Drosophila melanogaster: one gene and its partners. The protein of the gene in region 4 purifies or fractionates together with the protein of the main gene of each other region. This does not show direct contact. Each region holds a gene or a part of one and is shown on either strand. Other genes may lie near its edges.

Region 1 (7,241 bases), on a different chromosome or scaffold from region 4:
CTGTTGTAGGTCAAACCCTTGCCCAACAGCAGAATGGGCCGATCCTCGGGTGCTGTGCCGCAGTAGCTGACCTCCAGGACCACCGGTGGCTCGCAGCTGCCTTTGGCTATCATTAGAAACGAATTGAGATGATTCATTTCTATCCAATCCATGGATCGCACCTCCACGGAAACGCCGCACGGACACAGGGCATCCACCGCCGATTGGGCGAATATGGTGGGGGTCATCTGATTAGCCGGCGAATCGCTCAATCTTCGAGCCAAGTTCTGAGATTCCGCCTTGAAGAGACCCCTCGTCCAGGCATCCACATCCGGTGAGTCGTACAGATCCAGTTTGGGTACCTGAGTGCGATCCTGCTTGCGCTTGTTGCTATTGTAACGCCAGATGGCCAGAGCACTGCCCTCCGCCGCCTGCTCCGGATATTCCATGGAGTCCACAAAGACTTCCGTGCAACCCTGCAGTTGCAATGCCCGAGCTCCGACGCCAGCGGCAACGCGGGCATTCTCCATACCCTCGTCGATATTCTCCAGGTCATTGAAGCCGGCACCTTCTTGGCCCAAACCCACCACAGCCACTGCCCGGAATTCGGCATCCACGTTCATGAAGACCTTACCCTTGCCCAGTTCCCCCTTGATTCCAGTTTCGCGCAACAGCTCCGAGACCTTGCCCTGAGTTCGGTCGTCGAACTTCTCGCCGCTGGACGTCATCTTGACCTCCTTACCGTCGCCCTCCTTGGAGTAGACGCCCACCACCACGCCCTTGATAACAGTCTTGTTGTCACACTTGTCTGCTAATCCCCTCCAGATTTGAGAATCCGCTGGCTGAAGTCTGTGGTTAAAAAGTGGTGTTCCAAACAGATTGTACGATTTCCAGGGTGCCGTGACCTGTTGATATAATCTTGGATTGCGCGTAAAAGCACTGATCATGCGTGTGGATGCCATCTTCGAGATACACGGTGTGTGGTTAGTCCTGGTTAGTCCGCCCTTGCGCACGTCTGGTTAGCTTTTTTAGATCACGAAGTGCCTAACAATTTTGGAATGACAGTTGAAAGTGTGTTCCTCTGTTTGGCCTAAGGCTATACTAACTAGATCATCCAAAACGGAGACAATATCTAACAGGCCCCCTTCGTTTGACAACAATTAATATCAAAGTACCATTTAAGAATCTAATTGAGGCCAGAACATAAAAACCGATCAATTACAATTGTAAAACTTTCGACATACATGTATTTACCCCGAAAAAAGTCATATATATGTATAAACATTTACTCTCCATCAGAGTCGCCTTGATTTGAGGGCTTGAGGCTGCCGAAGACCTTGGCTGGAATGGCCTTTTGTTCGAAGCGCAGTTTCTTCATGACCAGGCCTTCCTCGTCGGTTTTCGTGACCGCTGCACTGGCCTGATTCTCGTTCGTCATCTCGTTCTCCTCATCGTCGTCCTCCTCCTCATCGTCCTCGTCGCTGTCTCCAATGTCGATCTCATCAGGATTGACGACCGTATCCTTTTTATCCTTAGCACCACCCTGAGTCTCACCGCGCACAAACATAATATTCGAGGCCGCCTTCTCGATGGGCTTCTGTTTGGACTCGGCTGCCGCCTGGCGAGCTTTCTCCTCCAGCAATCGCATGGCATCCGGTCCAGCTCCTGCTCCAGCATCCGCAGCCGCTCCGTTGTTTGTGCTCAGGAATTGGGCGGCCATCATGTTCACCTGCGTATTGTAAGTGGCCTGCACAGAGCGCTTGATGCGCAGCATTTCGCGCATTGTGTCTTCGTTGCCGTGACGCACTTCGAACTCCTTCCAAGTTTGCCAAAAGTCTGCAGTGATGCGGGGATCACAAACCTGAAGAATGCAAACAATAATTAGATTAAGTGATGCATTAGAAATCTATATATATTATCATACCTGTGAGCAATGAGCATAGATGGCTCTAGCTCGATCCACTTCGCCCAACTTCGTTTCCAACTCAGCAAACTTAACGCACATGTGGCGCATATTCTGCTCGGGCAGCGATTCGATGGCCTTCTCATAGATCTCGCGGGTACGTGGCAGGCCATAGATCTCGGCTGCCTTCTTTATAAATATGTTGTACATGTCGAACATCTCATCTTCTTTGACAGCAGACGTGGCACGATCATAGACCGACATGGCATGCCGGGCGAGACCGTGCTCCTCTTCCAACTTAGCATACAGTAAATAAAAGTACTTAGCATGCTCGGGAGGACACTGATCCAGGCACTGTTCGAAGAGATCTCTGGCTCGCTCCAGTTTTGTGCCGCCATAGCGCTCCAAAAATTTGGTTAGATAAGAGTTCCAAATGTCGTAGACATTGGGCCACTTGAACAGAGAGATGCCCTTCTCATAGGCTCGGTAGGCTTCCTCAAAGTAGTTGTGCTCCTCGAGGAACATTCCGTAATTGATAATGATCTGTGGCGTACAGATTTTCAGATCAATAATCCGCTCGTAGACGGCTTTGCACGTCTTGAATGTGCCGAATGACTCCTCCAAATCCGCGTACATGGACCACACTTTTAGCGAGCGATGAAGGCGCGCCTGCACCGTTTCCGTATCATCATAATAGGCAATCTTTCGCTTTGGCATGGCCGTCGCCCTTTGCATCAGCTTGAGTGCCGCCTCGAACTGCTGTTGCCGTAACTCCATCTCTGCCCATTCGCACCACACCGCCGCCAGATCCTCTACTTTAACATACTCAACCTCAGTGCCGCGTTCGAAGACCACACGAGCATCCTCCACCTGTCCGTTGGCCTCGTAGAACTTGGCGAACTCCACCCAGAGAGTGTGTAGTTTGCCGACCGCCTGCTTCGGCTGCACTGTTTGCACGGCCTCGGTGTACGTACTGATGATCTCGGCGGGCTTGTCCTCGTACAGTGTCACCCGCTTGTGCCACTCGTGCACGTTGTGCGGATTCTGGCGCAGAAGCACACTATTCAACAGCAGCAAACGGCGCTCCATGAGGTATTCGAAGCGTGAGAGCCGCAGTTCAACGTCAATGTCGTCCTCCTCGGTGGCCGCCTCATTGGCAGCTACCTGCTCCATACGTCTGTTCAGCGAGAGTTCCTCGAACTGTGCGTATTCATCAAAGACTTGGGTGAAGTCTCTTACGGTGGTCACAGTTTGAATGGCTTCCTCGTATATATCTCTTGCCCGATCAAATAAGCCGGAACGCACATAGTAATCCGCCAGAGAGTTCCACAGGTGGCCCAGCTGATCGGTGTAGCGACGCAGCCCACCGCGAATGATGGCGTCCACGTTCAAGGAGTGCACCTTGTGTGGATTCTTCGAGATGAGGTCGCACAATTCGTTCCACAGCTGATGATTGGACTTGCCGTGTTTGGAAACGAAGTGCTCGTTGTCGACGATGTGCGCCAGCTGCTGGGCAGCTTCGTCCAGCCGATCTGCTTCCTGTAGGTAGTCCACATATTCCTCTGTGTCCTCGGGAAAGAGTTTCAGATATCGACGGTAGACTCGCAGTGCTGTTTCCGGCATTTCAAAGCGGCGTACAAACTGCAAATACAGTGGCCAAATCCTGCCGTGCTGCGTGATGGGCAGAGCCCTTAGAGCCCGATCGAAAACGTGCCGGGTGCGGGTAATCTTGCATTGCGAGGTCATGAAGGCACCGTAGTCCATCCAGATACGTGGCATTTTGTGCATAAACACCAGTGCACGTTCGAAGGCACTGTTGACCTCCTCGTACATGGGATCCGTGGGTATCTTGCCGCGCACCTGCTTCCTGCGAGTTCTCAGGTAATTGTGCCAGATCTTATAGCTGCCAGGAAGCTCTTTCAGAGCACGCTCATAGACCATGTTAACACCATTATTCGGCGCCTTCGCTTTGTGATCAATGTAGCGCAGCCAATGTTTTACGGAGTAGGCGTTTCGAAGGATTTCCTCCTCATACGGCACATCCTCCACTTCCTGTGTGTGAAAAACTTGATAGGTTAGTTGTGATTTACATATATTTCATGGTACTTACGAAATTGATCTCTAAATTCAGAGATTTTATCGTTTTTGTCACCATTTTTCGCGATTTTCATGAAATGCCGCAAACAATAATTTTCTCATGCGCGTCCCACGAAAACAGCTGATCGAAATGGCGTTGCCAGAAGGTTTGAAAAGTAGTGGTATTAAGATACCGCAGCTAATACCAAAGTAATTAAATCCTAATTAACATGTAAACAATATTTTAAGAATACAGAAAAATTGTTCATAAAACTAAGATAACTTTGGCTTGTGTACATTTTTTTTACAAATTGTGAACATCTAGAATTTTCTAAGTGCACCTTATTTAAACGTTGAAGTTATGGACAAACCAAAACAATCGTGAATTTTCTAGAGTACCATTGCGGTATATTTTGCCTCCCTTTGAATTGGTATTTCGCCCTTCGTCCGCTGCCCAACACTGGCCTCAGTTTGTGAATTTTTCGTAAGCCCATCTGCAGATGTTTTCGTCGCTGCTGCCAATATTTTGACGTTCATACCGTTTGCGTATTTCGCAGAGACCAGTTAACGCGCTCGTAAAATCGCAAAAAACACACTTAACGCGATCGTTTGTTCTGTTTTTGTAAACACATTGCAATTGGCCTGCATTTTGCATAATTTACGCAACGAAGGCAACTGCGTGAGTGCACCAACACACACACACACACACACAGCCGTGCAAAAGAGAGCCAAAGAGAGTGAGGAGCGCAGGCGAGTTGGCAGCCAAAGGCAAAAAATCAAAGTCTATCGAAAAAAACACTATAAAAATAGATCAAAATGACGCGCTTGAAACATTTCTCAGCATAGAACGACTATCAATCGAATTAAGTTTTAAGTAATACCCAACGACCGTGGAAAAACCAAGCACAGTGGTAAGTAAAAGACGAGGGGAAAACACGAAAAAACACGTCACACGTGTGCGTGTGCTTGCAAGTGTGTGTGTGCGAGCGTGTGAGTGGGTGGGTGTCATAAATATTTTCGCACACACTTGTTCCTGCATTGATTTTATATTTTTCGCACAGGCTCAAACTTGTGTGTGCCGCCGCACTCCAATTGGTCCAGGTAAATCCAATTAGACTGGATCCTAGGTAAAAAAAAACCACCACCGGAAAATCTATTTCCCCGCTTCCCGAACAGCTGTTTATGATGGTTCTCAAAAATTTTCCACTCGCTCTTGTTGCCCGAGGGAAAATTTTGGGCATTTTAGGGCCTCCCGTATTGAATGTAAACAGAAAACACACACGAAAGTGCGGAAAAGCGCTTAGATTTTCCTTGCCGGCTGTGGCCCAATATCTCTCTCTTTGCCACCCCCTCTCTTCGCACTGTTGCCACCCACTAAACTGACACACTAAGCCGCCCGCCAGCAACAACAGCAACAACAAAGGCGGCTAAAACCACTGCAGCTTTGAGCCGCATGCAGCTTTTTTAACTGCCAGCGGAAAAGCTTTATCAATTCAGTTGGCTAAAATCCCAGCAAAGATTCGGGTTTATTTCAAGGAAAACTTTTAATTCTTAAAATTAAAAATGCCCGTTGTTTTCAAATGAGATTTTTTAAAATGATTATTATGTCTAAAAATTGTAAATAATCTAAAAGAGTTGAAAAAACCATAGCATATTCACTTAAAAATAGCTTAAAAACATTGCTAATTATAAAATATCATATTGAGATGACTTCTGCTAACAATATTATATCATATTCAATATTTTGCCCACTGAGAATGAGAATGTGCTGACCACAATTTCCCCTAAGCCACCCACTGCACTTCAACGAATATTCCAGAAACGCTCGGAGAAAGCTTCTCTTGGCCAAAAGCAGCTTTCCTGCCGCTTTTTATAGTCTCATTTATTGATTCCATTCCTCTCTTCTGTTCTTATTTCTACTTGCAGCCAAAGCAACGCATCGACGCATAAACGCTAGTTAATAATAAAAGTGCATAAAATTATTCGTATTCCAACCATCTTCCGTCATCTAAAGTGCTAAAAATTCGTCACCATGTCGCGTTCAAGTAGTTTGTTTTTTAATTCGGCTGCCAAGTTAGAGACTAAAAAACTTAATTGATTCGATCAAGAAAAGTGAGCAACCAGCAGTGAAAATACACAACAGCAGCATAATCACTTTCGAAACCAGTTTTTTCGTAAAGAATCGCGAAGAGTGTTCCAGAAAAGTGCAACATCACATTCCCACACAGTATATGCACACACACACAAACACACTATATATACATATAGGTACATATATAGCAACATCGGAGCATCCAGGGAAACGACCCACAGCACCCACTTCGGTTAATCTCGCTTGGTAATTAAGGGTTCATCGCCTAATGGCAAGTTCGCTCAACAAGACGAGACACAGGCGCAGACTGGCTGCGATCTCGTTCCTATCGAATATCTCGTTAGATGGCACCCATCGGGACACCAAATTCGGCGCAACATTCGGCAGCAGCCTGCTCTGCAACCAGAATAAGAACCCATCCTCGCTGGGACTCGGCTCGGGGGGCTTTCATCCGCACTATCAGCAGCACCACCATCAGCGCAGCCACTCGGCGACGCACCACAACCACCAGAAGCGGCATCACACGCAGCAGCAGCAGCAACAGCAACAACAGCAACACACCCAACAGCAGCAGCAGCAGCAGCAACATCAGCAGCAGCATCAGCAGCAGCAGCAACACCAGAATGGCGCCCTCTGTTCGCCGCTCCTCTGCAGCGCCGATGTCCACATGGGCATCGATGGCGGCATCGGGCTGGGATTGGGACTGGAGGACTGCACCACCGGTGCCAGCGATGGGGACGGGCATTTTAGTGAAACTGAAAATATGGGTCAATACCTGATGAACGTCCTGCCGGCCGCCGATCACAATCGCAGCAGCATTGTGCCGGCCGAGAGACGCAACATAAAGCGCCCGACCTCGTCGGGTCGTCATAACCACCAGGCACCGGGCAATGGCAATATGGGCAATAAGCTCCAACAGCAGCAGCAGCAGCAGCACAAGTTGCAGCAGCAACAGCGGCAGGCACGAAGTTGCGCCGCCGGCAGCGGAGGATCGGGTGCCGAGAGTGGCAGCGATTCGGACAGCGTCAAGATACCGCTCAAGGTGTCCAATCTGGGCAGCGGCGGTGGCGTGGCCGGCGGAGCGGGCAGCAAGCTATTGCCGCTGAGGGAACGGTGAGTAATCAATGCACAATTCATGTTTGTCATATCAGTGAACTATCTTAGCTTATTATGGTTTCTAATCAGCATTTT
Region 2 (7,668 bases), on a different chromosome or scaffold from region 4:
GTATGGAACGCAGATAGCTTGGCTGCCATTTTAGCAATTGAATGGGCGAGATAAGTGCCTCTGAAGAAAGTAACTGATAGAACGAAGCATAACTATTTGGGGATTATGGTCTGAGTCAGCATTTGTAAGTAGGGGATAGAAATATTAAAAACAAAAAATATAAAAACATTTTTTAGGTGCTTGGAATAAATTAAAAGCTTGAGTTTATTTGGTGTGTTCAAGTTAACTATGCAGTTATTGTTTGGAAAATTTGAAAAGTTATAAAATCCTCTATAAATTCAAATATTGCGTTTTCATTACGTTAATATCTAATTTGTAAATGGTATATTCTCTTAAAAAACGTATCTCTTTGTTTCTATATTATTATCAAGTTACGAAACCAAAGAAAAAAAATGAATGTTTCCTATTTCCCAACCGAAAACATATAATAATAAATATTGATTACAAAAACGAATCATCTTAATTTGAAAAATTCATTTGTTTATATACTTTAAATCGTCATATAGATGGCGCTACATTTGCCATTGTCACTCACAGCGCAACGCGCACACCTTATCAGCTGAATTTGTTGCCATTCAGAATGCAGTGTTTGTGAAGGCGTAGTTCTGTTGTTTTTTATATTTTCCCTCTTTAAAAATACACAAAATGTTGAAACCCAAAGCTTTGACGCAGGTTCTCAGCCAGGCGAACACCGGCGGAGTGGAGAACACCCTGTAGGATAGTCCCTTACCATGCCATTCCTTCAAATATCACTTATCCCTGCATCCACAGCCTGCTCAGCCAGGAGGGAGCTCTATTGGCCTACTCCGGTTATGGCGATAAGGATGCCAGGATAACGGCGGCCATAGCCAGCAACATATGGGCGGCCTACGAGAAGCATGGACGCAACGCCTTTCGCGAAGGTCGCCTCACTTTCGTGCTCATCGATTGTGAAAACGGTCATGTGGCCATCACACAGGTGGGTGATCCTCTTTTTTTTAGCAGGGATTCGTTCTATAAAATCTTAACTATATTCCTTTTTACAGGTTGCCAGTGTCCTTTTGTGCCTGTACGCCAAGCAAACGGTGGGATTGGGTCTTCTGAAGCAAAAGGCCATGTCACTGGCCTCCTATTTGGAGCGACCGCTTAAGCAGATCTCGGCCTCATAAGGATAAAACAATGATGTACCAAGTTCCGAAATGAATAAGTTAATAAGTGTATGCATCAAAAGTGAATCAAATGAATATGAATAGTCTGCGGAAAAGTTTAAACGATAATATATTAGTACTTGAAATTATGAATCTTTAAGGATTTTGTTAGTATTTAAGGAAAAACTTGTCTGCTGGTTTCCAAAAGTAACCCAAAGATATTTCGTATTCTGAATTATTTGGATAGAGGGTCAGGTTTATTATTCTGCAAGATTTGTTCAAGAAAACACACAATCATTAGGGAATATTGTATAAGAAAATTTTGGACTTAATTACTAAGTGTGGACTTATTCGATGGCGTAGAGCTTCAGGGTGCGGTCCATGCTGGTGGATGCCAGATACTGGGCGTGCTTGCCGAATCTCACGCCCGTTGCCAGGGCCGTGTGGTCGTTGAATACCTTCAGTTCCTGCCACTGCTTGCACAGGTAAACCCTGTAAATAAAACGAAGCAACCGTCAGAATTTGTATTTGTACCGTGGCAACCAAATAAACAAGTTAACTAAGGGAATCTTCTTTGGCGAATTTAACTTAACAATGCGAAAGTTTAAAAGAAAAGTTTACCGCGAATATGAAAGTAAGTATTATATTCTAATATGCGAAGACTTAAAAATGCATGCTGCTCTTCAAGATTTCGTGCGACCCAAGACCCATGTGGAACCGGAGCCTCCAAAGCCCATAAACTTATCGATTGAGGACTTCAATGCGGTGCGAAATAATTAATTTTTATATTTCCAAAGTTAAGTTTTATTAATATTCCTCAGCGCGGAGAGATCGCCAATCCCCGTGCTCCTTGTGTGGTCACCACCATCGATCCCGATTATATTAAGGACGCCAGTGCGCAACGTTTGGCCAGAAAATTTCGCATGAAAACGTAAGGAATCAAATGAATTATGTGCTGGTGCAATTTCACAGCTTTTTCAGGGACATCCTACTCTTGAGGGAGATTACCCGCAATCGCTTTATGTACTATGCTACGCAAGAACTTTTTTTGGACCGAAAACGCGAGAAGGAATACCAAGACAATGTATACGAAAAGGCCGAGGAGTTTCACAAGTTTGCAGAGGAGTCGCTCAAGAAAATGGAAGCGGAGGAGTTTAAGAAAATGTTAGAGGCCCAAGAAAAGCTGAAGACACTGAAGGAAAGCAAACTGAGCGAAGAGCTGAACGAGGTGAAGCTGGAGCATCAGCGAGTGCTGATGGAAGTGCAGGAGGTCTACGGTCGCTTTCAGTATTTACTCAAACTGATCAGCTACTTTGATGACACAGTTGAGGAGGAGCAAACCGAGGGAGACGATGCCAGCAATAGGCTTAGCATGCCGCAGGAAATCGTAGCCATGGAGATCACCGAACGACATCCAGCGGGTCTCGAGCAAGTGCGTCAAGTCCAAGACTACATGGAGAAGATAGTGCGTCCGTATTTGGCAAAGCGGAATCATCTCAATGCAGAGATTTGGATACGTGGCTATGAGAGAAATCGCTTAAAGGTGTCCAACTACAACAGGCGCTTTTCTCAGTTGGCAATCTTGAACCACATCGTAGCCATCCTCCATGACAAGGCCCAGAAGACGTACGAGCGTCAGGTGAAAGCCAATGTGTTCCTCAAGGATCCCGAGTTCCTGCAGCGACGGGTGGCAGGTCTTCAGGAGCGTGCCAAGGGTCTATTAAATGACTTCGAGCAGAGATACTGCAAGGAGTGAGTTGGGATGCGTACATATTTGAATCAACTATTTTATATTCTTAATTTCCAGCAAGCTGAATATCAAGCTAAATGCTATTGTACCAATTATTCTCAAGCAAATCCAAAACAAAGTTAAGCCGGAGCAAAAGCGAGAGGTTACGCAGCCGCCATCCAAGCCAGCAGCCCAGAAGTCGTCCAAGCAATGGCGAACACTGGAAGACATGCAGCCTCCACCACCGCCACCCAAGTCTACATACGCGGACGAACAGGACACGACTCTTGCCAAGGTGGAGAAAATCCAGGGCTACGTTTTGGAGCTCTTGGCTAAACTGGACCACATCGAACCGAGCAAGCTGCGAAGTGTCGAGCAGCAGGTTCGACGTCGCATGGCAGCGGAGAAGGAAATGTCTCGCCGTGCGTTAGTCAAGCAGAACCGGCTACACAACTGGATGGCGCATTTCAAGAAGCATCATGATCAGCAGGTTGAGCAACGATGGAAAAATAAAGTCTAAGCTAGACAACAACACCATACTTAAAACATTAAATGAATACAATTTAAAACTTATTTTAACCTCATTCTGAATGATTTCAATAAGAAAAGTACAATTCACTTACCTGACATCGCTGCCGGCGATAGCCAGATAGGTTCCGCTTTGGTCGAAGCACAGATCCTTGACCTCGTAGCCGTCATCAAGCTGGATTGTCTTAAAGTTCTTCAGCTTTCGCAGATCCCACAGCTTAACGCAGGCATCATCTGCAGCGGTGGCCAGGTAGTAACCGTTCTCCGAGAAGGAGATGGCCGAAATGGGACCGGTATGACCAGGGAAGTTGGCCACATTGCTCTGCTCCTTCAAATCCCAGATCTTAACCTGCGAGTCCACGGTGCCCGTACCGAAGATCAGACCATCAGGATGGAATTGCGCTGTCGTCAGCCCGACTTCGGCGGTATCGATTACCTTGGTGAGCAGGCGTCCTGTGCGGATATCGGAGAATGCCCAGTGTTTGTCGGATGATGTGGACAGCAAGTAGTCGCCAGTGGGGTGCAGCGAAAGGCCAGTAACAGGTCCTTCGTGGCAGCGCAGGAGAAGCTGCGTCTGCGAAGTGGGCACGTGCCAGATGCGTATGTTCATGTCGGGCGAGCCGGTTATGACTGTATCCTCGTTAGGATGATATATGACTTTGGTGATCTTCTTGGTGTGTCCCTTCAGGATGGCCACCATCTGCTCTGTGTCCTTGTTGAACACGGTGGCGTTTTTATCGTTGCCTCCGGTCAGAATCTTACTGTGATCAGCACTGTTGATGTCCAAGGCCAGAATGCCGGGAACGGAGGCCGAGTGTAGGCCGGGATGGGATGCCACAGTAAGGAAGTTCTTAACCTGATCCGTTGTAACCAGATCCTCGGGCACAGTGCGTCCGCGCTTCTTACGCTCCTGCGTCAGCACCGTGGCCTTGTCCTGCAGTTTCTGTATGACCTCGGCGCTCATGCCCGCCTGCTCCATGGGATGGGCAGCAGCTCCGCCAGCCTCAGAGGCCAGGGCCGGTTGTGGTATTGCCGTGGGTGCGTTGGCAATGCCCGCCTGCGGTTTCAACGTGGCCAGAGCTTCGCGAGCGGCGGCCACCTCCTTATTGAGGCGGGCAATCACACGACAGGCGGCATCGTGCTGATACAGCGCATGGGACAACTCCTGGCGCGTCGTTTGCAGCTGCTGGCGTTGTGTGAACGAGTGAATCATGAGGGCGTCCCACTCGTCCTGCATCGTTTTCAAAGTGGCCGGAATGCTGGTGGCACTTGGCGGTTTCGGTTTCACCACAGCCGGCGTCTTGATCTCGATCAGCTCCTCCGGCTTCAGCTCCTTGCCGCTAATGGGATCGCAGCCATTCTCTAACAGATACTTCTCAATCACCCGCTTTTCGAAAACGGCTCCCGAGTGCGGGGAAACCACGGGCGTCTCGGGGACTTCGTTTGTCACTTGGAATGGAAAGTGCGATTCATAATGGCCCAATTCAAATCAAAATCTAAATTATTCACTTACGTGCGCAAACCAAAGCCATTGCTGTTTGTGATTATGTCGCTTTTCGCGTAGTCTTGTTGGTAAATTAAATGTTTTACACGTTTTTCCCGAGCCAAGCGCAAAATTGTCGGCAAAGCCGCTTCTTCTTATTATGCCAGTTACTCGGCGACGCGGGAGTTTCGAGCACAGGGCTGCCAGATCAAATGGATTTTGGCTAGAAATTTGCACAGAAAAAACTAGCTAGAATTTAAACAATTTATTTTATTGATAACACAACACATTCAATAAGTATTTAATCCATAACAATAGTTTTTATAGATAAATGACATTTACTGATAGAGAAGTGAGTAACATATCTTAAATCAATCAGCTATCTCACCGTTTTGCCAATCACAGTTCCGCACGCACAATCCATAATTGCTGGCAACCCTAGCACGTTGTTTCTGTTATTCAATTCACGATCTAGTTTTATAACATAGTTTACTGCCATTAAGGTATATTTTTAAAATGCTGAAGCATTTTGCACGATGGCGTCTGGGCAGCCAGTTGCTAAAGGGATGTGCCGCACCAGTGAGGCAAGCCTCCAAAACCTCCAGCGCAGAGAACCTGATAGCCGGCACAGAGGAACCCCAAAAAAAGTTCGTCAATCCGTTTTCCCAGCCCGCTCCTGCGTTAAGTAATGATACGATATCAGAGAACAAGGAGGAACGGGATAAGCGACTCAAGGTGCTGCAGCTGGAGGCGGACATTGCCCACCAGGAGGGTCGGCGGGTGCCGTCACTGGAATTCTTTAAGGATCATCATTGGGAGCACGTGCTGACGCTACCCACAAAATCAGCTAGGATCAAGTACTTTGGCTATCTCTGGCAAATCGAGATGAAGAAGGAGGCGGATCAACGCAAGAAGGCAGAGCGAGCGAAGGAAGCCGAGCGGCGGGTTGCGGAGATGCGAAAGGAGCGCGAGGAGAATACGCACATTATCTATGGCCTGGGACACACATCGTTGTTTCTGCGTATCTATGATACCACTATTAATCACTGGCAGAACAACCGACTCACACGGGCCATGCAGTTTGCCCCCAAAATGGTTTTGGATTGCTCCTACGATGAGCACATGAACAATCGGGAGGCTACCTATGCAGCAAAGCAATTGATGATGTGCTTTGCGGAGAACCGGATGAATGATGAGCCCTTCGATCTGCACTATTGCAACACCCAGATGGACAGCAGATGCATGCAGAGCCTCCAACGCTACATCCCCACCATGCACAATCCAGAGTTCCCGATAAATTTGCATAGCAAGTGCTTTACGGAACTCTTTCCCAAGCAGAACCTGGTCTACCTAACGCCCCACTGCCGGGAGGATCTGGTCACTTACAACCCAGATGACATCTACATCGTGGGCGCCATGGTAGACACTATGAACAACGAACCCCTTTCGCTGGCCAAAGCCAAACGATTGGGCCTTCGGATGGCGAGACTGCCCCTGGATCGCTACCTACAGTGGGGTTCCGGTTCGGGAAAGTCGCTAACTCTAAACCAGATGATCAACATTATGCTGGACCTCAAGAAAACCGGCGACTGGGATACGGCCTTGAAGCATGTGCCCCGTCGGAAGGTCGTGCAAAACGAATTCCAGCCGCGCAGGGAGAAAGATCATTGGAGCACAGGCACGCGGGCCAGGAAGCTTAATATGCGAATCGATCATCTGTTTGATTTTGACGAGAATCGCCGGCAGGCTACCTCCTATGCAACTCCGCAGAATGTAAGGCAGCGACGGGAGGGCTTGGAGTTCCAACTGGACACTTGGGCAACGGGGAAGCAAAAGAAAAAGCAGAGACAAAATTAAAGTTACTCGTTGTATTCATTAAGATGCATATTTCATTTTATTCGGATTCGGATTTCTTATTCATGGGAAGTTAGTTTTTGGTTGTAGGGGACCTTCTGCCTCCACTTCCTTCTTAATGGCTGCCACAGTCTGATTCGATGAGGGAATCTCTTCAATTACTAGACCAGTATACTCTTCAGCAGGTTCACCATAATCTGTGTCTGTGTCATATTTGAAAGTACTTTCTGGCATGGCTTCTGTCACGGCTTCATCTTCTTGTTCATCTTTATCGGTCTTTTTGTATTTTAGCCACATGTTCTTGCCGTTGATGGCCTGGTAGTTGATGGCCGCCTTAAGGCCAGCATCCTTCATCAGTTCTTTAGCTTTGGATTCGTACTCCTGCACACGATCTTTGCGCTCCACCGTCATCAGCTTGGTTTCCAGAATAAAAAGTGATTGCGCACGCATCGCCTGGAAGAAGTCCTTGCTCAAGAAAGAGTAATAGTTATAGGCCATAAAGACGATATCAAACATATTGTTCCAATGAGCTGCACCCTTTTTCAGCTGCTCCATCTCCATGGGCGACACAAAGTGCACTGTTACTCCGGGCACGTGGATCCATGGCTTATCGTAAGCCGCTTGCCCAGCAGCGTCCTCTTCCTGGTGGTTCAACAAGGGCGTCATCAGCAGCTGAACAGAGCCATACCGTCGGGAACGAGTGGTATCATGCTCGTAGGCTGTCTGGGTCAGCAATTCATGGAAGAATTCCATGAGATTGCGTTCTGTTATATCGGTAGCACGATAATCATTATCACCGTGCACAGAATGATGCATTCGCTCCTCCACGGTGCGCAGCCCGAAGCCACAAAACGGTCCAGTCTGGATATCACCCACATAGCCACGGTGGATGAAGTTGCGTCCATTGCGCACCAATCCAACGGCCAGTGTCTTGTTCGGCTTGCAAT
Region 3 (8,752 bases), 4.5 Mb from region 4:
TAAAAAGAAAGTACAACAACTTTATGGTACTTGGAAACAAGAATGAAGAAACTAAATGGATAGGTAATATGTGCAGCAATGTTAAATCGAAACAGGAAAGCTTGTAAATTGAAATTCAAAAGAATCCGAACCGAATCATCCGTACGGAAAAGAACGTGAAAGCAGCCCGACTGGAATCGAATTTCAATACACTTTTACATTACATACATTATCTTGTTAAATGTTATTATATTCTCCTATTTATACCTTTAAACACTCGAATTGTTTGCTCGCATTCCATTAATTATTGTAAACAGCCACGGAGGTGTGCGATGTTCGTTCCTCCAGTGGTGTGTATGTATCTATTTGAAAAACAACATGTCATCCGAAAATGTAAAATTGCAAGTTCTGTAAATTAAAAAGCAACAAAACAGCCAAGTGTCTGGAAACTCGAATATAAATTCAATTTTCACGTGCCCCAAAGAGAAAATTCTTGGCGCGAATATTGGTTTTTTTTTTTTCGCAAGGGAATTCTTTATTTTGAATTTCAAACAAAATGTTCCATTTTCTTGATACAAAGAGTCGCATGGAGGAAGAATTAACTGACAATATATAGAAAATATATACGATTTTCATGTCGTTTTAAAAACAATGATCAGGCATCTGTAACTGCATTAATATTATTAATAACTAACCTTTTCTGATCCTGATCATTTACTCCGTTGGTTCAGTTTGTTAATGTTCGCCTGTTTTTTTGTGGTGTTTTTTTTTTTGTAGTGTACCTATGTAGATCGGTAAATCGCAATGCGTTTTCCTATCAACCATTCGATATCCGAACTGCGCTGGAAGCCTGCATCCGCTTGGGGGGATCCGCCAGCGTTCCCGAGCGATTATAAATGGTGTATCCATGTTTTTTAAATTTGATTTTGTTTCGTCTTGATTCTTTGTTTGCGTGATTTTCCTTGTTTTTGTTTGATTTTGTTTTCGTGTTTGTTAGGATAACAAATGCATCAAAAAAGAGTCCAAAAATGTACAACAGTGGGCATACATATATGGGGATCGGTATAAACCGCTTTGGGTGGGAAAATGTTAAAACAGGAGCTAAAGATTGGCTGCTGCACTAGAGGCCAGAAGAAGGTTAGAAGATAAGCCACTTGGTGAATACATGTCCTGGGCGGGAGTGATTGCGTCTTTGTTAGGCTCCGGCTGCGAATCCTGGGCTGGCAAAAGAGAAAAGAAACGTGTCGAGAAGTTGTCCATCTTGTGTGGCGCCTTGCTGGCAGATTGGCTCATCCGTGGGCGAACTCCGTCTCGGGAGCGCACTCGTGACCAATGGCCAATGGCCGGTGGCCAATGGCATGTCGCCTGGCTATGACTCCATGGCCCGCGGCGCTACGGAAACAGCAACTGCAGCTGTGCATCCTGGCAGCCTACAGTGATTTGCTCTCGATATTTCGATCTTTCGACATCTCTCTCCCGTCTCAGTCTTCTTTATTACTTTGTAACTCCACATCTTGCCATATCCGTCTCCATCTATCACGCTGCCTCGTCTCGATTTGCCATCTTTTAATGTCCCGCTTTGTCCTAATGTTCTTAGGTCGCATTGTTTCCCGCATCTGTCGTTGTTCCCGTGATGGTCCTCTCTGCTTTTTCCTGCTGCCTACTGATGCTACTCCTTGATGATGACTTCAAAGTTGAGTTTGTTGTTGTTTCGTTTGTGTTGCTTGTTATCGTTTGTAGTTGTTGCACCTCCAACCGGATTCTCAATAAGGCTGTGAGAACTGATTCAAGCTCCGCTCGCCCGACTGCGAAACACAAATAATTCAGATTACCTAACACTCTTTGGGTTTCAAAAATATCACTTCCACACTTACCGCGTTAAAGGCAACATCCTGGGATAGCAAACCGTCCATCTGCGATATTTGCCCAAAGTCCTGTGAAAGTTCCGGCTGCTGGGACAGAGCAAATCCGCTGGGCTGGGTCATCTGCAGCGACAAAGGCATCGGGTGCTGACTGTATGGAGCAGCATTGCATACCGAGCTTCCTTGTGTTAGCGGTGCCCCGCCAGTTCCACCGCCCGTTACGCGCGATTTTCCCAGCTTGTTGGTCTTCTTATTGCCGCCTGGGGTGGCGCTTCGTCCGACTCCGACTCCAGTGACTCCAGGACCCGAGTTACCGGGAGAGAAATTACCCGTCTGTTGTTGAATGGCGCGATTCTGCTTGACCGCCATGATCGCCTGCTGGTGCTGGTTGTAGAAACGCGGCGGAATATTGCTCATGTTCATGAACATGCCAACCGGAACTGGCATGTTGCCCAGTGCTGCTGCTCCATGCTCGTTGGATATATAGCCAATGGAGTCGTGGTGGAGGTGGGCAGCCGCCCAACTGGGTCCAGCCCCTCCGAAGTTGTTGTTGCCACCGGCCGCGCCATTGCCTCCGTTGCCCAGGCCAAAGCCCACCATGGAATTGGAGCTGGGAGTACCGTAGCCGAGGGGTGAGTTTCCGTAGGGACCACCTCCACTGCCACCGTACTGTCCGCCATTCATTGACTGTCCCACCATTTGGCGACCTTGGCCGTAACCGCCACTGCGGTCGTAAATGGAGCCTGGCACCATCACTTCCTTGGCATCGGCAATAATGGTGGACATAAAGTGTGCCCCAATGTTCATGCTGTTGACAAGCTTTTTGGGCTTCTGGAAGTGGATTAGCGACTCCTTAAGGTTATTCAGAGATCCCTCGACGAGCACCTTACGGTCCTTGTAGAAGTTGAGCAGATGGTTCCACAGCTGCTGCTTGGCGAGCACTTTGGGATTGCCCACAATGATGATCCCGAACTTGGCCCGTGTAAGGGCAACATTAAGGCGACGTGGGTCGTTCAAAAAGCCGATGCCTTGACGTTCGTTAGATCGCACGCAAGACATGATAATGATGTCCTTCTCACGTCCCTGGAACGCGTCCACACTGGCGATCTCGATCTCCTGGTATAGACGAGAGTGCAGGCTGCCCTGGTATTGCATGTACTGCACCAGGTAAGCGCGCTGACCTTCGTAAGGCGTGATGATTCCAATTTGTTCCGGCTTGATGCCTGCCTTAAGGAATCGCGTCGTAATCTTTTCCACGTTGGCCGCCTCTGTGCGGTTGAGGAAAGAGGTGCCGGAGCCGGCAATCTCCTCCTGTCCCTGTGTTACCAGAAAGAACATCGGTCTCTCCGGCTGTGGCCAGGGGAAATCAAGCTTAAGGCGACGATCCTCCGCGCAGACGCCGTTTTGCAGCGATCCCTCGTAGAAGAAGTTGGACGGGAACTGGGACAGCTCGGGGTGCATGCGATATTGCACCTCCAGCCGGAACGGACGGATGCCCAGAACCACCAGGCGCTCGAACAAACTTTGCGAGAGGCCGGCACGAGCTGCTTTCTTGCACATAACAACCGGTCCCAGCTGGCAGTGATCGCCCACGAGGATCAGCTGCTTAGCGCCCAGCACCACTGGCACCATGCACTCCGGCTCCGTCGACTGCATAGACTCATCGATCAGGATCGAGGTGAACTTGACTCGCGATAGACGACCATCGCCGGCGCCTACGCATGTGCAGCAGATAACGTCGGCAGCCTCCAGCAGTTGGTTCTCGGCGGCACGTTTCAGGTTGCGGTATCGCTTTTCGTCTGCTGAGCTCAGCTCGCCGGTCTCGTCTTTCAGCTGCTGCAGCTTCTTTAGCTCCGAGTTGGTCTCCATGTTACGGATTTGGTTGTGCAGCGCCAGGAAGCTTACCGGGCTATCGATGGCCTCACGGCTCTTGGCGCAAACACGCACCACTTTAAGGTTTGTTCGGTGGATCTTCTCAGTTAGCTGATCCACGGCCGTGTTGCTGGGAGCGCACACCAGCACTGTGCCACCATGGAGCTTGACCAGCTGGTAAACGATGGTCGCCGAGGTCACGGTTTTGCCCGTGCCAGGCGGCCCTTGGATTAGCGAGAGCGGACGCTGAAGCGCGTGTTTCACGGCATACACCTGGCTGCGATTCAAATCCGGCAGATGCGGGGCACTGAAGAGCTTGGGTTGTGGGCCGCGGAACAGCACCTCGTCGTTGGAATCCGCACGACCGTGGCCCAACAGGCGCGAGTAGATGAAGTTCGACACTGAATTGCGATCGATGGCGAATTTGCACAGAGCACGTGTCATGCGATCAAATGACGTGCACTTCCAGATGAAGTCCACCGTAAAGTTACTGGTGCACTTAACCGGGGCATTCGTTGAGGATTTCAGCTCCAGGCCGACGTCATCGCCGAAATTGTCCGGCACCTTGATAACGTGGCCGATCTCGCTCCACGGATTGTACAGCTCGCCCACATAATGCAGGCGCAGCTCGTCGCCATGCATGAGCTTCATGTCCGAATCGGTCTTCGCCAGCGTAAAGTAGGCAATGGTCTTTTTGTTGAGGCCGACGTCCCAGCGTACTTCGATGTTCTCCTGCGTGGCAGACTCCTTCAGTTTTTGGTCGTATTCGGCCTCAAGGCGGACCAGCGGCCCAAAGGTCTTCTCGTACTGATAGCCATCCTCGTAGCGGAGTAGCACATGTGCTGGCTCCGAGTCAATGCCTGGCTTCTCCAGATCCTGAAACGTGGCCTCAATATTCTCCTTCCATAGCTCCTCCAGCTTGTTGATCTGAGCGGCTGAGATTTGGCGAGCTCGCAGCTGTCCCTGTTCGCTGGGTTGCTTTACCAGCCAGGCCAAAAAGCAGCGGTCTGCAATTAGAGGCTTCCACTGTTCCTGGTCCCAGTTCATATCCTTTAGCGAATTCTGGGCGGCACACGGCTGACGGCAGAGCAGCACGACCACAGAATCGGCCTTGGCCGGAATGAAGCCCAGCACAAAGACGTTGCGCACACCACAGGAGTAGCACTCCAGGATTGTCTCGCCCAGGGGACCTTCCCCGTGGAGCGTCACCTCGCGATGCTTGGCCCTCACCAGATGGTTGATGATGTGCGAACCGGAAGTGCTTCCACGACCGTTGCAAAACCATTTGCGGCAGTTGTTGCACATGACCACCGTGGCTGGATCATGGATGCCGCAATACTTGCACGCATGCGGCGGCAGCTCCTTCACATACGAGCTGCCAGGCTCGTCGTCCTCCTCTTCGAACTGCAGATCGGCCAGATCGTTGGTGATGCTGGCCAGTCGTGGATGCGAGTCTCCGGCAGAGCAGCGTTGCTGTAAATTAAAAAGGGTATATGCCATTTGGGTTTCGCGGAATGATTTGGGGGACAACTCACGGCAATCTCCAGCTGATCGTTCTGGGTCTGGCTCTGCGAGGTGGAGGGCATGGTAAAGTCGCGGTAATCGTACTGCGTGGGTTGAGTATCCGCTCCCGGAAGCAGCTCGTTGTCGTCCATGTCCAGGAACGAGAGCGCCGAGCTGGGCGCGTACGTGTCCACGCTCATGGCGCCTGTTGTTTCTTCTCACCCAAGGTGATTATGCTGCGTTTCCGCAGGGATCGCGATGAGATCTAGTTAGCAATGTGCATTGGCCGATAGGTACGTAACTCGGATGGGACTGATGCTCACCTATAGTACCTGCTCCTAGACCACGGATCGCTTGGTCAGTGTTTCCGGAATTGAAAAATTCCTAAGCTTGGAGCGTGGCCGCGATGATTATGGTATGGCGATGGTGTCGTGTGTGCGTTTCGCGCTTTCCGTGTTCGGGAGCCCGCCGTTCGGCACTCTTTCGAAACTGTGGCTGTTGTGTGTTTTAAATTGAGTCTGTACGAGATTCCCACGCTATTGCGGGGAATGTAGGATTAAAAAAAGCGAAAACTTTCTTGCTTGTTCAACAAATTTGCCCGGCCTGTTTTGCCAGTAATAAATATACGTCAGTTTGCATTTGACTCACGAGGGGTCTATCGATAATCGCGTATGGCAACATCAATCGCTAGTGTTGGGCAAGTTGACTATAGATACTATCGGTGATGGGGTGAATAATATATCGTTTAAGTATTGTCTTTTTAGTAATTATACCATAAATTACTGTTTATTTTGGAAAACGCCAAAATCGCCAAAATTTATGAAATGAATAAACAAACATAGGACTCCCGTATTGCGTATTTATTTAAAAGTACTTATATAGTCGACCTTATAATAAACTATTACAAACAGGATTTAACCATAAGGTTTAACTTGAAATAACTTGTTGGATAAAATGGAAGAAAAAATAAAACCTTCAAGTATTTCCTACAGGTTAAAGTTTTAGTTGCGAAGGCAATCATTATAATCAAAACTTTTTTCGTTCCCAATAAATATATATGATATAAATATATATTTTCTTTGTCAATAATGTGACTCATCAAGATTTGCCTTCAGAAGCAAGGGTTCCTTGTAATCATTAAGGGAAATAAAAAAAAACAAGAGAGAGTGCTATAGTCAAGTTCCCCGACTATAAGATACCCGTTACTCAGCAAGTGTGAATGCGAACGCGAAATTTTATCATTTTTCTGGGATATCGATAGATATTGGGGAATAAAATGAGAAAAATTAAAAAAAATGTTCCAAACTGTGGGCGTGACCGGTTCGGCTGCCCTAGGGCGTTAGAGTGGGCGTGTCTTTTCGCAGTTTGGCAACTAAAAAAATTATGAAAAATTTCAAAAAATGGTTCAGAAGTGTGGGCGTTAGAGTGGGCGTGGCAACATGGGTCACCAAACTTGCGCTGCGTCTTTGTCTCTAGAATCTGTATGCTGAATCTCAACCTTCTAGCTTTTATAGTTCCTCATACGGACAGACAGACAGAGGGACATAGCTAGATCGACTCGGCTATTGATACTGATCAATAATATATATGCTTTATATAGTCGGAAACGCTTTCAACGCCAAAGTTGAAATAAACAAGAAACCATTCGAATGTGAACAAATGAGCATAAATAAAAGGCTTTCCCATAAATAAAAATACAGTGGTTATCTTAGATTGAACTTCGTATAACTTTAACTTTGATTAGCGTATAAAATATATATATATCGAAATACATATTGCCAGACAAATCAAAAACGTGAGAACGCAGCAGCATACTGCAGCCCAGAAAAATAATTGTAGCTTATAATCAATAAATAAATTATGGGAATAGCTTGCGCAATCTGCAGCATTAACTTTCCCTAAAATATTTCGTCTGTAGTATTGTTCCTGGTTCGAATCGCTGTTGATGTTCATTTTAGAATTTCCATTAGATTTGAACAATGTCCACCTATAACACAAAAACTGATTTCAAATATGTTTTATAAAGGAATCAATTATGCAATATCTATGCAATTTGTGAATTGTCATCACTCACATTGATTGTGTTCAAGTTTTCGGTTCAAAAAGCTGTACTAAACAATTAATTAGCAGATCGGGATAATTTACGTGTGACTCGCTCGAGTCTCTGAAACGGTTTGATTTCAGAAAAAATGTTGTTTTACTTGAATTGAGCGAGGGCTTCATAAATTTACATTCATTCACATATAGGTACATATGTATGTGCATATGTTTGGGCATTTTCCTCAAACTGCGTCAGTGAAAAAATCAAAAAATGCGCATTCATCATTTAAAATATACACTTGGGAAAATAATTGTATAAATCTCAAAGGAAAAAAATTTTGCTATTTTACTTCATGTTGTTATTTATTTACTTCATTTTATGTCTTAAGGTAACGGAAAAACGTTTTTTTTTTTCTGATTTTGAGAATTTGAATATTTAACCCTTTAAGCATTTTATTTCCTAGTGGTTTGCATATTAAACTTCATTTTGCAATTTTTGCAAATTTGTCTGATAATATATCTCCTTTTACAAGGGCAGATCTGCAAATATATTTCCACTCGATTGTGGAGGTATTGAAATGTTTTTTGAAATCCCACAAGCATTCCGTGTGTGGTTTCAAATTTAAGAAGTAATGAAATGAAACCAAGGCCGCCTTTGTTAGTGGATACATTTATTTATTTATAATTTAATTCAAATTGTTTTAGATTATACACATTTTGGAAGGCTTGCCCAGCCAAAAAGCGAATTAAATATGTAAGTTTGTTTATACGGCTGTAGCAAGTCGCTTTCGCTGATTTTGCGACAATTATTATTTATCAATTAAACTTATAGTATATGTCTTGGACGGATTAGTACTAATGTTACGCGAAAATTGATTATCATGAGAAAGTATATCGTATATCGTGTGTGAACCCTGGAAAGTCATCCGATCCATCATGGATTTGCAATCTACTTGTGTGTCGTTTGTTCAATTAGGATACCCGAACATTAGGCTACTCGTACTCAATTCCAATATGCAGTGTATCGAGAAGAATACTATTCAGTAGTAATACTTTTATTTCAAACCTGTGTATGTATCTATCCCAACTACCATAGTGTATGTTTATGTATATTTTTAAGGACTGAAGTATCCTCGAATCTGTTCAAAATCAATCGTGTGCATGTGGCAGTTTGTATAACATTGTATATACACATATATACATTTGTAACTAGAAAGTATTGGACTTGCAATCAACTAATTTCGACGATAAGTTGAGAAGTAAGATCCGATCAGTTGGACAGGATTTTGTGACCTGCTCATACAAATTTCCCATCAAACGGCAGCGTAACATTTAAAGAACACTTTTAGCTAGAATTAAAACCATCTGGTTAATTAACTACCCTGCTCTTTTCCCTCATCTTTGAACATCTTTGATTAAATGCAAAATCTCAGTTGGAAGTGCAGAACACACGTATCGAATGGAGTTGATGGTACCACTGGGAAAAGAATTTCAAA
Region 4 (5,971 bases):
CCTCATTATAAGCATAAGCAAACCAGATTTGATTTGATTTCGATTTAGGGAACTTGAGCTATTTCCATTTTACCAGTTTTACCATCAAAAGTTAAGTACATTAAGTTGATTCCAAAATTAGAAATAGAAACAATTCATAAACAGCTCAATTGGCATCAATTTAATGGGCATTTGATATTCAGTTTCAGGATCAGCTTTTCATAAGTATTATATTACAATCTTCTTAAAGACTTTTAACTGAAGAAAATAGACCACTTTCATATGTTATCTGGAAAACTATTTTAGACCTTTCTCTTAGCACAAATACTCAAACAGCATTTCAATCATTTAGCATTTACCTTTTTTATTTTCTCTTTTAAAGCTTAAAGTAATAATACAATTTATAAAAAAAAAAGGGCAAAGGAAATTTAAACCACTTTGATTACATATGTCTTCCAGTTGTTTAACAATTACGATATACCACATAATTGTGTCTATGTTATTTAACCACGATTGTTGTAGCTAATGTTACAAAAACTAAAAGTTTGCAAACAATATTAAAATAAAATGTAATTATTCAATTACATTTAAATGAACGTGCCTTAAAATTCGAAATGATCGAAATTTTAAATGTTTGAACGTTAACTATTGAAGTACACCTGTTGCTAAAATAACAAATATTTGAAAAATAATAATATAGCTCAAAGATATCTATTTTTTATAAAATCAAAGTTCTAACTTAGCTTCTTCTCTAAACTGCGAAATCTAAATATCTAAAGCCTAAGTTCAATAGACGTATTATTACTAAATGCATTATATAATTTATATATCTAGATATTCATAAAATGCACTAGTCGATTTAAGAAGTGGAAATTGTGCTCCCTATGCGAATCATTTAGGATTTTAATCTGAAACTATTTGCATTCCATACGAATGCCCCACTGAAACGATCGATATCATTTGTCTTGCACTCGCATTTAATTATTTAACAAACATTCTGCTGTTTCCATTCGCACAATAGTTCTAATTTGGACATTTTGCGCGTTTGAGCGCATTAGCAAATCATGCTTAGTATATATGTATGTGTATATGTACCCAAAATGTATTTCATTTGTACGTTCCGTTTTTAAGTGATTTGTATCTGTACGTCTAATAGATATTTTCAACTGTTTTTGTAATTGCCTTATAATTCAGTAAACACACACCATACGTATACATTCATAATTATTTAATGCCAAATAAATGTTTATCCGGCGTTAGCTGTCTATATATATACAAAGTTGTTTCTATATGTTGGATTTCTGAGAATTGAGGAAGCCACCGAATGAAGTAGTTATGTTATATACCCTTAAACTCACGTACAGTTTCAACCCATTAGAAGCATTTGGAGTTTTCGTTTCCAACTTCCGGCTCACAATGAAATAAGCGACTATCCCTTTCTATTTCATGGTATCTTCGTATTTTCGTAGTCAAAATTTTACTTTTATTCTGATATTTATTGGACAAATGGTGAATGTGAGATATATGATTTACTTGTATCTAAAACTCGCGTCTGTGGTATTTGTCGGGATCGAAATATGATGTGACCACAACGCGGTCGCTGAATTTACGTCCAGTAAGTGCTTGCTGCGCCTTCTGACAGTCGAGAACCGAGTTGAATTCGACAAAGACCTTGCCGCAACCGGGAACTTCGACGCCCTCGATGGGACGTGGAATTTCCACGCTCCGCACGACTCCGTATTTCGTGCACTCCTCCTTGATGTCCTCCAAGATGTCCTCGTACTCCTCCTCGTCCCGCAGTTCATCGGGCGTGACCATGTTGAGCAAGCAAAGAACCTCAGTCGGCGGTCCAGAGGTCACCACATTGGACAGGCCCGGCACTTGGAGCATTACGGACTGCGTGGTGTTGGCCGCGTTCTGGGCATTCTTGGCGCCCACACTGGCTCGTTGGACAATCAGTTTTTTGTCACCCAGCTGCATTCCATTTAGGCCAGCAATCGACTACAAATTTTATTAGGAATCGAAAGAGAGTTAGAGTTAAGATTGTGTTTGTTTGCAATTTTGAAGTAGTTTCGTACCTGATCTGTGATGCTAAGATCGACATATTCACAGAAAGCATAACCCTTACTCAACCCAGTAGCGGCATCCTTAACCAGGTTGAAGGCTCGTAGCTTGCCAAACGACAAAAGCAGTTCCTTAACCTACAGCAGCAGAAGATACAAATGTTTATGAGAATTCGAATGGAAACGTTTCAATGTTGAACCAACCTGATCGTCATTCAGATAGTTTGGTAGACCTCCGATGAAGATTTTGTGAGGCGAGTCCGGAACCACTGTCGAAATAACTCCACTGGAAACTGGAATGTGGAATGGTGGTTATTTGATTAGACCGTGTGCCAATGAAAATTAGGATATTTGTTTACTTACCAACAGCGGGCTTAATTGCCGGCGTATCTGTTATACCCGGCATGGGCTGGTAATCGTGCGGACGCCTAATCTTTAAGCTCTGCCCCTTCAAATTGATGCCATCGAATGCCATGGCCTGGGTGGTTTCATCAATCGATCGGAATTCGAGGAAAGCAAAGTTTTTGTCCAAGTTAATTTGGCATGCCAAGACGGGACTGCCGGCCGCCTGGGCGAGCCCAACTAAATGCATCTGTTGGTTGAAGAACTCCATCATTTCCTCCTCGGTGACGCCAAACGGAATGTTGCCAACGTACAGGCGACGCGCCTGTCGGGTAATTGTCGATCCGACCACGGGCACTGCCGTTTGTGGTGTATCCGGCACAACGCTTGCCGGGATTTGTCCGGACGCCTGCATGGCTTTGTATTGCATCGGGGTGATGTGCTCGAATCCCGGCGGCGGTACATCCCAATAAAGCGACGGCTTGCGCCTCGAGTTCCGGTGATGGCGTCGATCCCTGGAGCGTTCGCGATGGCGGTCCCGAGAGCGGGAACGATGTCGGCGTCTCTCGCGATCGCGTTCACGGTCTGCAAATACGATAGGAATTAAATATGTTGATTCTCCAATCGCTATTTTCGCAAATGTGTCCCGTCCCTGTCCACCTCACCCAGGAAGAGCACACAAATTTAGCCATACACACGGGCACACGCGCATATGTAAGCCATGAACAAGGACACATTTCGGTGTATGGTGTATGGTTAGAAGCATTTATGGTCATAAGAACTCGCCTTTATTGTCGATATTCACATATTTATCTTCAAAATTCATTTCCATCCCGAAATGCACTGTATTCTATTAAAAATAGACTCAAAACTCAACGTATGTACGTATGTATGAATGTATGAATGAGCGAAACATCGAAATAGAAAAAAAAACAACCGGTCTAGAATGAATGCGATTATTAACAAAACCCTAATTCAACAGACCTTTTTTACATATAAAAAAAAATGAAACAAGGAGCAGGCTGCGTTGCCGCGATAAACAAATTCAGTTGCACATTTTTCACTTTCTTTGCATACATTTATAGTTGTATGTATGTATGCATACATATATATACATAAACATCTATTTATGCACACTTGGGCATCAAATTCAGTGCGGCCCTTTACTTGCTCTCTTCATTGAACTCACCATCATATCCCATTCTTGTTGCTAAATAAAATTAATATTTCTTAACACGAAAACAATTTTAACTCTTTAAAATGCCGAAGAAAAATGTGTCCCTCTATTGCGTATATTAACGCAAATATAAAAGAAACGACTTAAAAAAGAACACGTGAAAACTGAGAAACAATGGAATGGACCACCGATAGCCGAGGGCTAACAGTGCGACACTGGCAGTTTCGAAGTGTCGTTGAACGATTTATCGACATAAATTTCACTTGTAGGGTGTCCATTACTGCAAAATATTTATATAAATTATTATACATAATCATACATAATAATATAATAATAATAATATACATACATACATAAAAATACACGCTTAAGCGACATCTGACATATACGATTCTGCAACTATTCTGTACTCCCTAGTTTGTTAATCAACAAACGGTGACGTCACACTCAATTGTATACCACCTTCTCAAGCATGCTGTATTTGTTTTGTTTTGATTGAGAGAAGAAATACCGGTGTTTTTGTCAGTTAATCGATTATATTATGAGCATTAAGATATATTTACCGGTCAACTATTATTACCTCAATAAGTCAACCAATTTGTACGGCCAAGTGCAAATAAATGAAGATAATGTCGTATCGTATTACGTGCTGGAAGCATCAGATTTGGAGTTCAGTGACAAGGCCATAAATCATGAAAAGGGCAATCTGCGTTTCCTGGGCTCTATTCTCAACGAGGATTTCAATGCGGACCAGAACCAATTTCTTAAGTTCAATATGCGATTGTGTTTCACATACAATAGCAGTCAGGCGAATATAACACTGGTTTATTTGGGCATTACGCCCGAATATCTGAAGCACATTAAAGTGATTCTCTACGACAAGCAAATGGTACGAAATCTGTTCGTATCTGGTGAATCTGAAAATAGGCGATCTTTGGAATACAATGATAATGATAGCACCGATTGCGACTTTCTGGAGCTCTCTAGACTGAATCAACCAACTGCTGACAACCAAAACAAGGCAAACAATAATGCCAACAAGAGTATCCAATATGGCTTAACACTCATTGCCGATTCTCCAATTAAGATATTCGAATATATGGCGGAAAATGTATTTATCAACAGCATTATGGTTCACACAACTATTTATAAGCATTTCAAGGAATGGCAGACAGCATGTGATAAAAGGTAGTTGGGTTAAATCGATGATGCTAAATATCATATTACTATTACTTAGTTTCTATCAAGCAGATCTCGACCGGCTAATATAGTTCTTGATAGAATACTGGGGATTATATTGATGCTAATACTATTTACGCTTGCCACACAGCCTGGTGATTTTCTAATACAAATATCTCATGTATGTCCGCCATACAAATTTGATTTTACATATGTGACATTAACTTATTGCTTATCTATTGTAGTACGTTATTGACGAATTGTACGGCCTGTTGAAAGTATTAGAGGGCAGTCCCATTGGCCTCAAGCTAAATATACATTTAAATAATTTCTTTCTCGACTGCTTCAAATATCATATTGAGCTGTGGTCAACATTTTTGGGTAAGCTTTTGGGTCTACTTAAATGCATGATAAGATTGATAACATTGTTCTCTTACTACAGATTTCATTGAACCTTTAGTACGACAAGTTTTCTTGGCCATTGGAATGATTGGATGCTTGGGTTTTACATTCCAGATAGCCTTACTAGTGGACTTAATATCCGTTATTGGCTTACATTCACATTGCTTCTATATTTATACCAAAGTGTAAGTTTCTGCAATATATATTGACCGCTTTCAAACAATAATATTATTTTCATAGCCTCTACAATGTGGAAAGAAGAGGTCTTTCTGTTCTATGGCAAGTGGTTCGAGGCAATCGTTACAACATTTTAAAAGGTATGTTTTAAGGTTTTTGCCAATCTAAGCACTATGTTAAGTTTTACCAATTCTTATACTTTTCAGGTCGCACTGAGTCCCACAACTATATGAATCGGCAATTATATCTAGCTACCATATTTTTCTCGGCTATTCTGTTTTTGTTACCCACTACCCTTGTCTACTATATAGTTTTTGCTGCTGTAAGTTTAATATATAATCGTTGAATTTCGCAATAATACAACTTTCTTTATAGCTGAAGGCGCTCACATTTGCTACTCTAAGTGTCTTTCATTTTTTGCGAAGAAAACTGATGTATCTCCCGATTGAAGTCTGTATAAAACGGTTATTAAGAGGATGTCATGAAATAGGTAATTGTGTAAAGAATGTGGATGCACAAAATGATATTTATATAATGATTTTTCTATTGACTCGCAGATTGTATTCAAATCAAAGATGTTTCACATCACGAAAGGGCTTTCCTGATGCACAAACAACAGAAAATCAACGTGACAGTGTATAAAATTACAACT

Evidence for each region.
Region 1: the proteins of U2af50 (region 4) and fand purify together in Drosophila melanogaster (affinity purification with western blotting; one study listed by BioGRID). This does not show direct contact.
Region 2: the proteins of U2af50 (region 4) and Prp19 purify together in Drosophila melanogaster (affinity purification with western blotting; one study listed by BioGRID). This does not show direct contact.
Region 3: the proteins of U2af50 (region 4) and Upf1 purify together in Drosophila melanogaster (affinity purification with western blotting, with the first as the bait; one study listed by BioGRID). This does not show direct contact.

The regions. Positions count from the first base shown.
Region 1 is NT_033778.4:13,590,522-13,597,762, reverse strand, and holds fand (fandango), read right to left. Parts: upstream 4,120-7,241; 5' UTR 4,038-4,119; coding exon 3,993-4,037; intron 3,935-3,992; coding exon 1,904-3,934; intron 1,841-1,903; coding exon 1,265-1,840; 3' UTR 1,206-1,264; downstream 1-1,205. Other genes in the region: S-Lap5 (Sperm-Leucylaminopeptidase 5), read right to left, coding at 1-941; CG45088 (uncharacterized protein), read left to right, coding at 5,991-6,056; CG6191 (uncharacterized protein), read left to right, coding at 6,319-7,163. UniProt on the Drosophila melanogaster protein: Subunit of the NTC(Nineteen)/Prp19 complex, which is part of the spliceosome. The complex participates in spliceosome assembly, its remodeling and is required for efficient spliceosome activation. Essential for efficient pre-mRNA splicing.
Region 2 is NT_033778.4:18,445,993-18,453,660, forward strand, and holds Prp19 (Pre-RNA processing factor 19), read right to left. Parts: upstream 5,050-7,668; 5' UTR 4,917-5,049; coding exon 4,898-4,916; intron 4,834-4,897; coding exon 3,480-4,833; intron 3,429-3,479; exon of another isoform or gene 3,377-3,428; coding exon of another isoform or gene 2,935-3,376; intron 2,880-2,934; coding exon of another isoform or gene 2,109-2,879; intron 2,059-2,108; coding exon of another isoform or gene 1,949-2,058; intron 1,893-1,948; coding exon of another isoform or gene 1,816-1,892; intron 1,762-1,815; coding exon of another isoform or gene 1,722-1,761; exon of another isoform or gene 1,620-1,721; coding exon 1,475-1,619; 3' UTR 1,369-1,474; downstream 1-1,368. Other genes in the region: Lamtor2 (late endosomal/lysosomal adaptor, MAPK and MTOR activator 2), read left to right, coding at 646-713, 772-958, 1,026-1,148; CG30120 (uncharacterized protein), read left to right, coding at 1,722-1,761, 1,816-1,892, 1,949-2,058, 2,109-2,879, 2,935-3,376; rswl (roswell), read left to right, coding at 5,384-6,724; Dnaaf3 (dynein axonemal assembly factor 3), read right to left, coding at 6,785-7,668.
Region 3 is NC_004354.4:11,899,496-11,908,247, forward strand, and holds Upf1 (Upf1 RNA helicase), read right to left. Parts: upstream 5,877-8,752; 5' UTR 5,540-5,876; intron 5,482-5,539; 5' UTR 5,417-5,481; coding exon 5,249-5,416; intron 5,187-5,248; coding exon 1,854-5,186; intron 1,785-1,853; coding exon 1,743-1,784; 3' UTR 501-1,742; downstream 1-500. Other genes in the region: CG43156 (uncharacterized protein), read right to left, coding at 6,957-7,169. UniProt on the Drosophila melanogaster protein: RNA-dependent helicase and ATPase required for nonsense-mediated decay (NMD) of mRNAs containing premature stop codons.
Region 4 is NC_004354.4:16,355,238-16,361,208, forward strand, and holds U2af50 (U2 small nuclear riboprotein auxiliary factor 50), read right to left. Parts: upstream 3,217-5,971; coding exon 3,171-3,216; intron 2,970-3,170; coding exon 2,406-2,969; intron 2,336-2,405; coding exon 2,247-2,335; intron 2,181-2,246; coding exon 2,058-2,180; intron 1,981-2,057; coding exon 1,519-1,980; 3' UTR 1,459-1,518; downstream 1-1,458. Other genes in the region: PIG-Q (phosphatidylinositol glycan anchor biosynthesis class Q), read left to right, coding at 4,103-4,749, 4,813-4,921, 4,986-5,121, 5,183-5,327, 5,383-5,459, 5,526-5,641, 5,695-5,809, 5,877-5,971. UniProt on the Drosophila melanogaster protein: Necessary for the splicing of pre-mRNA. Binds to the polypyrimidine tract of introns early during spliceosome assembly.